Astyanax mexicanus: one gene and its partner. Each later gene encodes a partner of the first gene's protein in a complex. Links are inferred from orthologs where the notes say so. Each region holds a gene or a part of one and is shown in the gene's direction. Other genes may lie near its edges.

Region 1 (7,921 bases):
TTCTCTTTCTTATATCAGTGAGGACAGAAGTACAGGCTTCTTGTGGAGATGAGCCCTTGAAAGGAAGAATGAAAAACGGAAACTGTACAGAAACCTCAGCTATTGTGTGCATTTTACACCCTGCTCATTGTTAAGTCAAAACGCCAAAACCATTCATTTACTACTGACCTCAAAGTCTCTACAATACAAAGGTACATTTCTGTTTATGTATATGACAAGTTAAAAAAAAAATCACAGAGAAGACTAAGTACTAAGAGAACAGATCTAAAATCCAAGTAGTTGTCATACTGTAAAAAAATATTGATATCCTAAATAAAATCTTGAAATATCATGATTATATTAAGGCCAAATTGCCCACTTTTACTTAATAATAAATACAGATAAACATACCTGTCTCATTAGCTGTACGACGTGAAAGCTAGGACAGTAGCACATGATTTTGTCCCCATCACCTGTAGCTAACAGAAATAACACCCACAAAATATCAACAGGTCACTAACATCACTTATAACATGTTATAAAGTTCATATGCCTGTATACAGCTTCACCAAAGACTTTAGGCTTTACATAAATCTTTTCAGTGACTAACAGCAAAGTTATTCTTCCTTTAAGGAAACAAACAGAAAATACCAACCTGCTGCAGCACCAACCTAAAACACAGGAAGCAGAATTATATACACATTTCCTCAAGTCTAAAATAGTTATGAAATTTTATGTAAACTTTACAGGAAACTGAATGGAAATTATGTCCTGAAACAGACTGAACTGTCCTGAATGCAGGTTTGTGCACCAGCATAGCAGGGTTATGATAAAGAGCTTACGGTATGGTCAGCATAAAGGCCACTGCCAGGAAGTGGAGAGTCCCCCACTCTCCCTGGAGCTTTGAAGGGTGCTCCTGATGTGGAAACCCCTGTAGTGTAAGCAATAACAAATCAAAAGTGTTATAGGCTTATTAATGTGTTAATATAATGTAGTTTTCTTTGCATGTAAAGATACTGTTTACAATTTGTGTACATTTTTAATTAGAAAATACATTAAATAAAGGATTAAACAAAGAAGTATTTTAAGATCAATCCTAATTTATTTTAACAGTCTTTAGTGAACCCTTCCTTTACTGACATCAAATATGTTAAGTAAGTCATTTACATTAAACCTTAAAATTTATAATTTTACAATTCTTACAAATCATTATTTTGTATGACCTACTTCATATTATAAGCTCTCTAAACAAACAGAGTAATGCAGCCTATTTAAAGCAGCACTGAAAATGGGCATTTCTTGCTCCTGGGCTCCCAGTGTAACTGGAGCTTTGAGCCAACACTAGAGGACACATTTTTCTGGACACGCTGAGAGATACAGAACCATGACAGAAATTTTACACAAATGTGATTTGGGTTACAGATTGTTTAGATATCCCATTGGCAGTGTGCTAAGCCATGTGCTAAGTAGCAATGATGGAGACAAATTTCTACTTATTTCATGTCAGTGGAGCATTGTAAGATTTTAAAGCTATTTATTAGTAAAATGCTACATAATGTTGCTTTACACTGCAGAAACAAACACATCAAAATGAAAGAAAGTCTTCCTCACCAACAGTAATGTTTCCTGAAAGATCCAGAGCAATGAGGCCTTGCCATTAAAAAAAACACAAGATAAATGCCTTTATCTTACATGACTCTTATAGATTTAATATATCATCATAACTCTTTTCTACTTTCAGTTTTGTGTATCAAAATGAATGTAAAACCTATTGTAATCCAGTTTGCAGTTTAGGCGTACTCAGGAAATAATCTATCAAAAGTTGTTTGAACTTCTGACAGGAATGAGTGTAGTTATAAAGTAACCAGGCCTTGGACAGATATCTAACTATTTAGACCCAAAAGGATTGGGTAGTAAGTATTACAGTTATTTTAAAAATGATGATATTTGCAGTGTTATGTCAGTGATGTACATTCTATTGGCCTGAGTACTGTAAAAAGACTGAAACTGCTTTCTTTGTGTACCTCACAATTCTACATTTATTCAAAAGAGAGAGATAAGACACTAGCTCAAGTTAATGCTTACCTATAGTATCGTGACCACTAGCATGCTGACCATTTTCAAGGAATTCCTTTTAATGGAATTTAACAAAAAGTTACTGTAAGTTACACTGTTTGTGTGGTGATACCGAAATAAAATGATGTGTAAAAAACTGACACTCAGTGTGAGTACCTGATATGCAGTGAGTGTATGGCTAGAGAGCATACTGTCGTTGGTTTCAATGGTAAAGCCCTGTTCCTGTGCAAACGCTTCAGCTCCTTCACCAACTAGCAAACTGTGAGGACTTCTGTCCATTACTCTTCGTGCCACCCGGCATGGCTGCCCTACTCTGATAACATAAAACATTTAAAATTAAGATTTAGGTTTACTATAATACAACTAAAAAAAAGTATAACAAATAAAACAATTAGCACATCATATAGTGCATTCCATAGTGCATTACAATCACATAACTATTACCCTTTGAATAATCTATACCAGTTAATGCCATTAATGTACCACTAAATACTGCAATATGATATTTTATTACATAAAGCCATTTCACAGTTTAAAATAACATTATCAACATCACCCTTTACCCTCGCAATGCAGCTACTGCCCCAAATCTCCCTGGCACACCTTCCATTATTGCTGCATCACACTCCACTATCCCCCGGCTGTTGGGGAAGCCTCCTCTTCCGACTATGTGACGACCCGTCTCCACATCATTCTCAACATCTGCAAAAAAGTATTGTACACTCCCGGTAAATAGAGTTTCAACAAAGCTTTACTGTTTACTGCTATTCTATTTCTTAACCTCTCACTATATTTCATAAAACAAGTAAAAGAAAAATAAAGAATAAGGCTCCAAAAGGCCAATATAAAAACTTTAAATATAAAGACTTTATAGTCTTTTTTCAGATTGGCTGACCTTAATTTCTTAAAGTTATTTTTTTACTTAGTTGAGTAGTTCTTGCCATATTATGGATTAGAATACTCAAATAGGGCTGTTCTTTACTGTATACCAACTCTACCTTTACATCTTTACAACTGGTGCTCTCAAAAACATTAAGATGGCAAGAATTCCAAGTAATCAACTCAACTGAGAAGGCACAGCTGTTACCTGAAAGCCATTTCAGGTGACTCTACCAAATAAAGCTGACTGAGAAAATGCCAACATGTGCAAAGCTGCCAAATAAGCAAGATGTGCTACTTTGAAGAATCTAAAATATAAAACATATTCTGGTTGGTTTAACACTTTTTTGTGAACTTGTTTTATTTGCATTATTTGAGAACTGAAAGCTCTGCATCTTTTTTGTTATTTCATCCATTTCTAATTTTCTGCAAATAATGCTCTAAATGACAATATTTTTATTTGGAATTTAGAAGAAATGTTGTCCGTAGTTTATAGAATAAAACAATAATGGTTATTTTACTGAAACATATACCTATAAATAGCAAAATAAGAGAGATGATTCAGAAACTGAAGTGGTCTCTTATTTTTTTTTTTCCAGAGCTGTATAACATATCTATAACACAACTGTTTATTCATTGCTTAGAGGAGAAAGTGTTTTAAAACTCATTTTCTAGTGAAAGCACAGTTTTAATGTAGAGGGTTTAATGGTGGTTACCTGCAGCTGCTCTCTCTACTACATCAGTGGCGTTCTGTCCGTCTAGAATCATAGAGCGCATTTTCTCTACAGCGGGCTGAGAGAAGGACCAGGTCCCCATTGCTGCCATCCTGCGGGTCACTGTCAACCCCTGATCAGACTTCACCTCCACAGCAGATGAACGAGCCGTCAGTGAGGAGTTTTAAAATACCTGGTTGATATTTTGAAGTATTACCAGAGAACTTCAATAGAGGAGAATACCCACTTAATCCACAATAACAATCATACATGAGTTTGTTAGACCACATGAGGGCGCTCACAAATGAGCCCAAAATGAATGGCTCCATGGAGTAAATGAGCAAAACCATAGTTAATAAACGTTTGATCACTTTAATACGGAAAACTGTATTATTATTCTCAACACGGAACAATTTAAAATGTTTTAAATACCGAAAAAATGGCTTTAAAGCTTTTAAATATATTTACCATTCAGCTCACAGTGGTAGAAATGCCAGCGTCTCTATTATCTAAACATTTTTTGCTATAGACAAATGGTAATATTTCTTTACTAACGTTTTCTTTACTTTTTTCTTTATTTTTTAGTAATATACTTCATTCTAAGTTCTTAGTTAAGTTCACCCCAACTCACTCGCGGGGTCCTCTAGCGGTTCACAGTAATTTTCTGACATAACGTGGGCGATAGAAACTAAGCAGTCTCGGCATAAACTATCTATCTCTGGTAGTACCGCGTTAGGGAGTTAAGAATCGAGAATTTCAAAATAAAAACTTAATAAAGTCTTAACTAACAAATAAAATCTTTAAAAAATTAATTCGTGTTTTTTTTATTTATTTATCAATATTTTTTTAGAACTCATAAGTAATAAATTACATGTATAGTGATCGATAGAGAGTCGTTCATATTTTAATATTCATGTAAATCTTTGGAGGTTTAAAAAAAAAAACAAGTGAAACTTAACTAAAAATCTTCGTTTTTTTAAACTTCATATTTTATTTTTATTATTGATATTGTTATTATTATTATTCGTATGAGTCGTTTATATTATATGTAATATATATATATATATATATATATATATATATATATATATATATATATATATATATATATATATATATATATATATATTTATAGGCAGTTTTGGGCAGTTAAATTGTCGATTAGAGTAGTTTATATTTTATTTATATTATATATGTTTATTTTTTAGGAGGGGATATATATATTTTTGGGAGTTAAATGGTCGATTAGAGTCGTTTATATCATATTTATATTATGCATTATATATTATTTTTGGGAGGGTGGAGGTTAGTGCTCGTATTATATAAAGCAGCGGAAGTGGTTTGGTAAAGCTGGCGGAACTTGCTGTGAAGTCCCGTGTTTTGCGCGCACCCGGAGACACAGAGAGAGGGGAGGTAAAATCAGACGCGGGTTTAATCTGATTTCTGAGTGTTTTAATGATTAACGGGTGTATTGTAATATTCAGGGTCTCCGGCTGCCCCTTCTGCCGTGCTGATACTGTAGCGGCTGGTTGTTCCAGTGCGGGGGTTAGTGTTGGAGCGACGACAGGCTACAGTTAGCACAGTGAGCTAACCAGCGGTTTCTGCAACCTGGACCCAGCCGAGCCTCCGCTTTATCTAACCGGGGCTGCCTGGAGTCTAACGCGCTGTCCAGCTGCAGTTTGGGCTGCGTGATTAGTGTAGTCTGCGGGTTTATATCGCTGAGTGGTTAATTAATATATGAGCTTTAACTCTGGTTAAAATCAGTAGCTGTATATCCGAACAGCGCCATTCATTCACTGTGACCTGATTTCTGTTCAACAACGCTTCTTACAGGAAAAAAATTCGCTCTTTCTCATTTGCTTTTCATAATTAGCGTTAAATGAATTACACTTAAATTCTGCGAGCTTTAATTCGCTTGTATGTTCATTTAATAAGAAAAAAATAGCTATTGGTTTTGATACGTTTGCAGGTTATTGTAGCTAGTGTGTTTACATTAGCTAAATTATCTAAACATAATTACAGAAATATACGAGCCTCAAGCGTCTCTATTCGTAATATTTTAGCAATAGGAGAAACAATCCAGTTACACACATCTAGCAATAATGAAGTTTTTAACCAGTAGACATAGTAATTCAAGATATCTACACTGAAACTTGCTGATGTGATTTTTAAGACTAAAACAGCTCCCCATACCAAAATAAATGTATTTTTGGATATGATGGAAGGTCCAGTTGTTAGTTGTGGTTGCCTGTCTCTCTCTGCCTCTCTATCTCTCTCGCTCTCTTCACGGGGCTGTGAGATTGTGAGGATGAGTGAGTGTTATTGTGGTAATGTTTGCACTTAGCGGGAGAGTCTGAAAGGAGCTCATTGGTACTCTGTAAACTTCCTGAAACCCACATGAATTTTCTCTGATCTGACACACATTGAATGGATGTGCTTTTAAACAAAGTTGTCTGTTATTTACATTCATTACTCGGGTAGACGTATAGATACTAGGGATACTAGAGAAATATAAACTTGAAGTATCTGTGCCACAGAGTCCTATAGTGCACTACCCCCTCAAACAAATTTATCTATAAAGCAATAATGACTCGTATTAAAATGTTAATGTTGACAAATATGGGATGCATTAGACTGCCTGTTTCATCCACATATATGTCAATTGAAAAAATGAATGCCTTTTAGTATTAAGCTAATATAATAAAGGAGCTTAGGTGGAACATTGTGAGAGCTTGAGTTCTTGCTGGAGTATGACTTGATGTGCAGGTGTGATGGATTGTAAAAAAACAGGATTTCGGAATGTTATGCATGTACTTCTCATCCAGCCACAATCAAATTTACTCTATCCACATGGAGGAATTTACATGGATAGGGTTTTTTGAAAGATGAGAAGCTGAAATAAAAAGCTGAAACTAAGTAGAAGTAATGTTTTTTTTTTTTAATGAAATTGAGAGAGAAAAAAACATACAAAACCACAATGTAAAGGTATTTATTGAAGACAGAACATTTGTAACATCATAGCAAACATACCAACTAAACTCAATATGGTTTGGTATTTATTTGGAAGAAATTATTGGTATATAAAATTCCATTCAGATGCTGCTGGGCACGAGCATTACCATCTACTGTGCTGTTTTCTTTGGGTGAAAATGCCTTCTACGGTGTGTTCCCAGTACACGTGCTGATGTGGATCGAAGAATGTTAAATACCATTACAACGTCATAAATAAAATGTCCCATCCACCTGGCACTAACTATCAGGCCCAGCTTGAACTCTGATAATTATTGTTGCCTTGCCATGTGCATGCTGTGATGCTTTACATTTAATATTTGACTGTGCTGCTTGATCTACTGTCTTCTAACTGCTTTTCTTTTCTTTTTTTGTATAACAGAAAGCTGGACATCTGAACACCATCTCTGCTCACACCTCTGTCTAGATTGTTAATCTGCTGCTGGGTTCATAACTGGACAGCATGGAGCAGAACAACAGCTTGCCCCCGTTTCCACAAAGCCTGTCGTCTCCACAGGTGAACAGATTGCTAACACAGATACCCAGTCTCTGCTCTTGCAGACTTTAGTCTCATAAATAATTCAGAATGAATCACTCTAGTTTTACACACATTGTGGGTCATGTATGGTAGAAAATGTACCTGTTAAGAACTTTTATGAATGTTTTATTAACCCCTTCAAAATGTGAAACTATGCCTTTAAGTTGTGGACTTATAATATTGACTATTTTTTTAACCTTAATGCACAAATTATGTAATTTATATTGCCATCCTCGTAGACATGAGTCATGCAAAAAGTGCCAATTTGAGTTTAGCATTAAAATGTAACTAGTGTAAACACTGGCTTCATCATTCTGAACAAGTCATGCTTTATTATTGATTTCTGTTCATCTGCAGGGTGCTATGACGCCTGGCATGCCCATCTTTAGCCCAATGATGCCGTATGGCACTGGGCTTACACCACAACCAGTGCAGAACACCAACAGTCTGTCACTTCTAGAGGAGCAGCAGATGCAGCAACAACAGCAGCAGCAGCAACAGGCTTCTCAACAGCAGGGTGGAATTGTGGGTACATCAGGCCAGACACCCCAACTTTACCACTCGCAAGCAGTTTCAACCACCACAGTACTACCAGGCAACACCCCACTGTATACCACCACCCCTTTAACCCCCATGACGCCCATTACACCTGCCACACCAGCCTCTGAGAGTTCTGGCATTGTCCCCCAACTACAGTGAGTTCTGTTGTATCACTGATTGATATAGA
Region 2 (7,134 bases), on another chromosome or scaffold:
CTTGCTGGGGCAGCGTACTCAGGCCATTCATCCGAGAAACTCTCAGTTTTTGGTAATATGCTGCATATTTTGGTAATTTTTTGGCATATATACATATATATATGCCATATATATGCCAAGTGCTTCCCCGTGTGTGTGTGTGTGTGTGTGTGTGTGTGTGTGTATGTGTAGTGTGTGTTTTGTGTTTGTGTGTCTGTAAAACCTGTAACACTGAGATGCTGATGATGGGATAGGAGGGGTATTAAGAGACATGGGCGTGCTCCTGGGGTTTAAAACCCACCTCCTTAATTCAGCTGCATTAGCGCTTCAGTGTCCTCGCTGCCAGCAGTGACGCTTCTCTTAAATGTTAATCGTGTTGTGGCTGAAAGGATTCAGGTTTTGGCTGCTCAAATCTAAATTTCCCTTTAGAGTATTACTTGTAAAATGCTGTAAGATGCTGTACTTCAGCAGTGTTCCATTTTCTTCATAGTGGGCTAGTGTGGCTGCAGGTTTAATTCCAAATAACCAGCAGCTGGTCAGTCTTCACTAGAAAAATCGCATTTTTATCAACATCACAATATGAGTGAATATGATAAACACATTGAAAGAGCTGCAGTAACGCCTTGGGTAATGTGAAACTCAAAATGCATTACCTACATGCAACAGCAGGGGGAGTTCTTAACACAGCAGACTGCGATCATCTGATGTAACCAGACTGGAGGCAGAGCGAGGCTGAGCAAAGTAGAGGACTGCAGCAAACACACACAGACACACACACACACAAAACTAACCCTTATCTGAAGGACAATTTGGTGCTAAACAAGCTTAAATTGAAGCCTGCAGCCATACCAACCCTTTGCAGATAAGATAGGACACCTCAGGAACCTTTTAAAAAGTTTAAATTGATTAAAAATAATCTTAAAAGGTTTTTAACACGTTTATTTTATTTTTTTTTTTGGAATGGAATAATTTTAGTCTCTGATATTCCTCAAAGAACCATCTTAGCCCCTTTTTTATTTGCTTACGATTTTCTCGTAAGCAAATACATGTAATTCAGGAGATGCAACAGACTAATCAAGAAAAAGTACAGTAATTTAAATACAACAAACACAGTTTAGCTTCATTTTTTGGAGAAACAGTTCAGTTGGGTTTGAGCTTCCAGTGGAGTGGTTCGGCAGCACACAGCAGTCCAGGTATCTACGAAATGTATAAAGAAGAATAGAATATTTTTTCATGGAATAACTTTCAGATGCGTTTAGTTTTGTATGGTGAGGGGTCTTGTGAACAGATATCGAGCTTATTTTTTTGAGACGTGCTCCAGACGTCCACGTATGTGTCACATATGTCCCTGTAGGACTGTGGTTGTGGAGGTCGGCTGATCCGTATATATATAAACTGTATTCTGTAATAAATTCTGTGTGGGTGGTTTTTTTTTTTTGTAAACTGTTTATGGATGATATTGCTATGCATCCTGTGTACATCCTGCGTAGACTTGTCTTCATAAAACGCGTCCAGTACAGTGTATTTGGAGTCTCTGGCAACCCGTCTGATTGTTTTGTGAAAATGCAGGGGAAAAAAAATAATAATACATGCATGAATCAGTTTAACAGTCCTGATCTTTCCCTTTATCTCCTTTTTGTCCATTCCTTTCATGTCATTTTTATGGACCGTTTAATCTTTTGAGCTGTAGTGATGAATAATTAATTTCAAAATAATGGAAACACCACCTTTTTAAATGTAAACGAGGCCTATAATTGCATTGAAACAAGGTACAAATAATGCAAGCCATGCATCGAAGCGCTTGGGACAAAACCTTGTATCTCCAGCTGCTCTTTACATCGTGTGATTATCTGTTTGTGATGAATCGTTTGTGACCAATTGTCCAGAATTACTTGAAATTACACCATATTGCTTTAACTTCCATGTTGAGTCACATTTTTCTTATTTTTCTTGAAATAAAGGTTAATTTTGGAGATAGAAGGTTTTGTTCTGACAGCACTGCTGATATACTAATTCAGATGTCATGCATTAGTAGAACTATGAAATGCTTCTATTTAAAGCTCTTTTCTGATTGGAGAGTTTCTACCAGTAATACTGAATGATAGAGACTGGAAATTTAAGTAGATGTTGACAGCATTTACCAGCAGCTCTAAATGGATGGAGGTAATGGATGTCCCAGAATAGATCTTTAGAATAAATCTTTTTTTTTATGTTCTATTTAATGGAATAAACTCCCATTAAAATAATGTCTAGCTCATGTTTTAGGCCTCCTTTATAAAGGTGTTTAACATTGTTGGCACATACTACAGTAAAGGGCCAATTACACTCAGTTTTATTACTCCAGCGTTTGCAGGGATTCTGAAATGTTCCTTGACATGTTTTGTGTTTTTTCATTCATATATTTTTTCTATCTTTTTGTGTTTTATGTTCAGCATTGTGCCAAATGTTTCAGTGATGTTTAAACAGTTCATCAAGATTTTAAGTGTGTGACCTATCAACACTTCAGCTCAGTCTTTTGGAACATCCCATCACTTCACATTATTGTTCTGTTTTTTGGTTGACTCATGATAAACAAATAAACTGGCTAGGGTAACAGCAAACTGGTTAGGAAATGTGTGTTCTGTATTTTTTTTGTTCTACCAGTGGTCTTAAACAAAAACTCAGTCTATTGAAATGTCTTCAGATGGCAGTAATATTAAGTTCCTAGTCAGATTTTTGTGCAGTGTAATTATGCAACACAAGGATGAAACATTTTTGCACTTGATACAAAATTCTTCAGGCCAAAACTGTAAGATCTTGAAAATACTGAAAGCAAAAATAATAATAAAAAGTAGCTGTGATTTATTGCCGTTTTTTCGTTGATGCAGCTTTTTAACATTCTCATTCCAAAAAAAAATTGAACATGATTTTATATTCTTGTGCCATCTCTACCTGTATATTCCTGTCTGCATCAGCTGGTGGTGTTGTTTCATCCTAATGTAGGCTTCTGATTATTAAGTGGCTCATGTATGTAGTTATTTTTTTTTATAATTATGGCAATAAAAGCATTTTAAAGTCTGTTATGTGTTTGTTGTGTTTGAAATGTTATGGTGATTGACTTCCCATATGCTTTATAAAGGGCAGTTTCTAATTAGAGGTGTCTGGTCAAAATAAATCCATTTATTATAAAAAACCTCCAACACAAATATGTAGTGTTATTTGTATTAAGCCTATATGGAAATTAATTATAAGTTTAGTTACACTGTTGGGTCAGGCCTTCCACAATTGCTATATTATTGTATTACTGTACTTTTTTTTAATTTGATCACTAAATATTTACTAATTTTTTTCTTTTTGTTGAGATAGAAAATTCAAGGTTATTTTATTTTAGAAATGTCAAATCTAGGTAACATTAGTAGTCAATAGAAGCCCATTCCCACCACCTAAAAATCCATCACGTATATTTTTTTCTTATGACTTTGAGATAGTAAGTCAACATCTTCAAATAACCACTTATCTCAAAATGACTTAGTATTTCAAAATAACGAATTAGTATATCAAAATAACTACTTAGTATCTCTGAATAACGCCTCAGTATCTCAGAATAACGACTCGGCCTCTCAAAATAAAAACTTAGTATCGCAGAATAAAGATAATTATTTAATATCTCCTAATAATGAGATTTTTTAGCAATCTATTTTGTTTTTGTTATTTACTGTATTTACGTTTTATTAGTTTGCAGTTTATATGCATGAATATGTTGCACTATTTTTGTTGTTATTTTTGATATTACATTATTTTATTACATTAGTTATTTTGTCACACTATAATTTTTACAAAATCAAATTAATTAATGAAATTAATTTCAGTAGAAAAAAAGCCTATAAAGGTACAAACGTTTTGCAATATCGTCAAGAATATCGCTATCGCAAAAAAAAACCTTTCGCGATATTATTTTAGGGCCATATCGCCCACTCCTAAATCCTATACTATTTCTTTCGTTTCTTTTTTTTTTCATTTTGTTTTTAAACACGCTCAGAATTAGTCGCTTAAGGACTTTTATTTTGATATGGCTGTACAGCGCACAAAAACAGCAGGCCTGATACAGACTTTTATTTTGTAGAGTTTCCGGTAATGGTCGCAGTCTCGCTGCTGTTGTGTTGAGACGCAGATAAACACAGCGGGAGGATTCGGGCTGAAATATCGAGTTTTATTGGGTATTAAATCTGCAGATTTTACTATTTTAACCACAGAGAGAGTTTAAAACCCGTTTAAAACGCTCTCGCTGTGTTTAAGGCGGTTCCGGGGCTGTTTTAAAGCGCTATTAGGAGCTGGTAGCAGGTAGCGGGAGCTGTCCGGGTCTCTGCCCGACATGAACGTCGACACCCCCCAGCCCGTCTCCAGCGGAGCGGCGGCGAACTCCTCCGCATCCGGAGGCAGCAGCAGCAGCAACTGCCTCCCCAACAGCAACTCCACAGCGAACAGCGGCGGCAGCGGCATCCCCTCCGCGTCCGGCGGGAACGGTGAGTGGATCACCAGCGTTAACCAGCCCGGGTTAACCGCGCTCTAATACAGCGGCGGCCAGTCCAGGCCGGGGACCCAGTAATCAACCCCGGGGTTTTTACTTTCCCCGGCGGCTCTGCTGCGTCTTATAATAAAGTTTTTCTTGGCTAGAAAAAAAAAATATTTAGATAGAGGTTTAAGTAGGCTTGGAAACGTTTGTTTGTAACATGGGAAAAAAAATCTAACTTAACAACAACAAAAAAACTAAAACCATTAATTTCACTGCCACCTTAACTTCATGAATAGTATTATTTATAAATTTATAAATAGTGGTAGTTCTTTAACTCGTAAATAGGCCTGTCACAATAATTACATTATCGACATGTTCAATAATTGAACATAAGCTCAATTATTTTAATAATCGTGATCCATTGTGTTGTCTTCCATTGTGTTTGCACTTACAAGAGACACTTACATATATTGTGACTGTGGGCGTAATCTAAAAACATACTTTTTATTAGGAAAAATGAAAAAATCAACACCCAAAACAAACATACTTACGGTCCAGTGCGGCTCTAGTCAATTAACTTCAGTGTCTCTTAGGTTTGTGTTGCCTCAGCCTTCCTCTCACCGTCAGAGTATCTCTCGTGTGAAAGCTGAGGCTTTGTGCTGGTCCAACGTGGGCCAGCTGGGACAGACCGGGGCTACACATCATGGTGTATATTTACATATATCATTTATGACTATAATCTACTTTGGGAACTTTTTGGGTTCCAAAATTAGGTCTGTCAACAGAAATGTAAAGTTTATTGTCTTTAAAAGGGTGCAATTCCTTTGATATGATATTATGTTATCATTATATTAGTGCCATTTAATGGTCTTAAAATGCCAAAAATAGAATTTATAGCAATAATTTCTGGGACAACATATTGTTTGCAAAAAAATATTATTGTGACAGGCCTATTTGTAAATAGAGAAAATTCCTAAATTCATAAAAATATAGAGGGTTCTTACATTTATCTAACAACTTTCAAATTATGTTAAAAGTCATTATACATCCACATACGTCTAGTGTATTCAGGTAAATAGCCTCAGCAGCAGTGGGAGCAGTTAGAAGATTCCTACCTGGAGTTCATGTAAACTTCTATGTAATCTGTAGTGGAGAGTGAGCAACTAGTCAGAGGCTGTTGGCATAAAGTGGATGGTGAGCAGCTGATCTGTTGTGGGTGACTGGAAAACCTGGCATCCGGAGACTTCCATCAGTCTGGTCGGACAGGTAACAGAAGAACCTGATGGTCAAATATCCATCATTGTCGGGCCAGACAGGTGGGCAGTAAATAAGTCAAGGGAAGCTAAATGACGGAATTAATTCTGACTGGATTTATGGAAAAGAGACAAAATGCAACATTATCAGAGTGTGGGTAATGACTCCAGCAGCTCTTAATATAACAGCCCACTAAATTGATTTTAGACATCTTATTTACGTAAACCAATCTTTTGTTTTAAAGTGCTGGTGTTAATATAAATGCATATTAAATGTGTATGTTTAAATCAGGAGACAGTGTCTGAATACATTGGTATCTGGTTCCAGTAAGTTTATGTATTCTGCCCCAATGATTTCAGTATCATTGGCAAAAACTTTCTACAAGGACTAACTATGTGTGTTCACACCTTTAGGTTCAGGTTAGAGTAGCTCAACCTACTGTGTTTATTTGAGACATCTTTATACTTGCATATATATGCAATTAAATGTCATTCTTTCTCTTTCTTTAAACAGTGCCGACCTCAGCTGCAATGGCAACACCATCCTCAGACTCTTCGGTCTCCAACGGACTCTACGTGCCCACAGGAATAGCCAATGGAGACGTGAAGCCCGTAGTATCAACCACACCACTGGCTGATTTCCTGATGCAGCTGGAAGATTACACTCCTACAGTGAGTTACACAATTTTACACTTGTGTTCCATAACAGCTATTGTATCTTGGGACCTGTGTTGACCTGAAATTAACAGATTATTTAAATTTAGAGAGCATCTAGATATACTTTGAATGGATTTTGTTAACACATCCATTTAAATGCATCTGTAAAATCTATACGCAATCCGATCACCAGAAACACATGTTAATGTTGGGTGTTCCCAGACTCTTACGTAATTTACGGTTATGTGTTTAATTGAATAAATCTCTTTTCCATTAGATTCCAGATGCTGTTACCGGTTATTATCTCAACCGGGCTGGCTTTGAAGCATCAGATCCGAGAATGTAAGTGTCATTTTTTTGTACTCTGTATAAATAAGTTGATTGTTAAACTTGTTTTAGAGAGTAATTTTGTGAAACATTATGGCACAATTTCTTAGTCAGGGATTAGGCCTAGTCATAGACTACACTGTACTTGTCCATTAAAAGGAGAATATAGTCTAGTCTAGGCTAGGCTTAATCCTGGTCCAGGTAATTGTCTCACAGGGTCGGGGCTCAGAAGAAGATTAGGCCTAGTTTTGGAATGCATTTCCTGACTATATAGCATTTCCTGTTAAAATCCTATATAGTCGAAGACTGGGTTTAATTTCTACATGGCTTCAGACTAACTCCATTCCATCATACAGAGCAAATAGAAAAATAGCATCTCCCACAAGAAAAGGTCTCATTTGGGATAGAGCTGTGTATAATTTGAGG

The links. The genes of interacting proteins can lie anywhere in the genome.
Region 2: TATA-box-binding protein (region 1) and taf10 share a complex: the UniProt entries of both Homo sapiens proteins name them as parts of the TFIID basal transcription factor complex. The link is inferred for Astyanax mexicanus from reciprocal best matches to the Homo sapiens genes TBP and TAF10.

The regions. Positions count from the first base shown.
Region 1 is NC_064414.1:38,658,846-38,666,766, forward strand, and holds the start of TATA-box-binding protein, read left to right. Parts: upstream 1-4,910; 5' UTR 4,911-5,060; intron 5,061-7,038; 5' UTR 7,039-7,119; coding exon 7,120-7,173; intron 7,174-7,551; coding exon 7,552-7,889; intron 7,890-7,921. Other genes in the region: zgc:153169 (N(4)-(Beta-N-acetylglucosaminyl)-L-asparaginase), read right to left, coding at 1-55, 391-458, 635-650, 822-910, 1,591-1,629, 2,065-2,110, 2,212-2,368, 2,619-2,757 and 1 more. UniProt on the Homo sapiens protein: The TFIID basal transcription factor complex plays a major role in the initiation of RNA polymerase II (Pol II)-dependent transcription.
Region 2 is NC_064419.1:42,554,165-42,561,298, reverse strand, and holds the start of taf10 (transcription initiation factor TFIID subunit 10), read left to right. Parts: upstream 1-4,079; 5' UTR 4,080-4,330; coding exon 4,331-4,481; exon of another isoform or gene 4,482-4,628; intron 4,629-5,586; exon of another isoform or gene 5,587-5,750; intron 5,751-6,238; coding exon 6,239-6,396; intron 6,397-6,658; coding exon 6,659-6,723; intron 6,724-7,134. UniProt on the Homo sapiens protein: The TFIID basal transcription factor complex plays a major role in the initiation of RNA polymerase II (Pol II)-dependent transcription.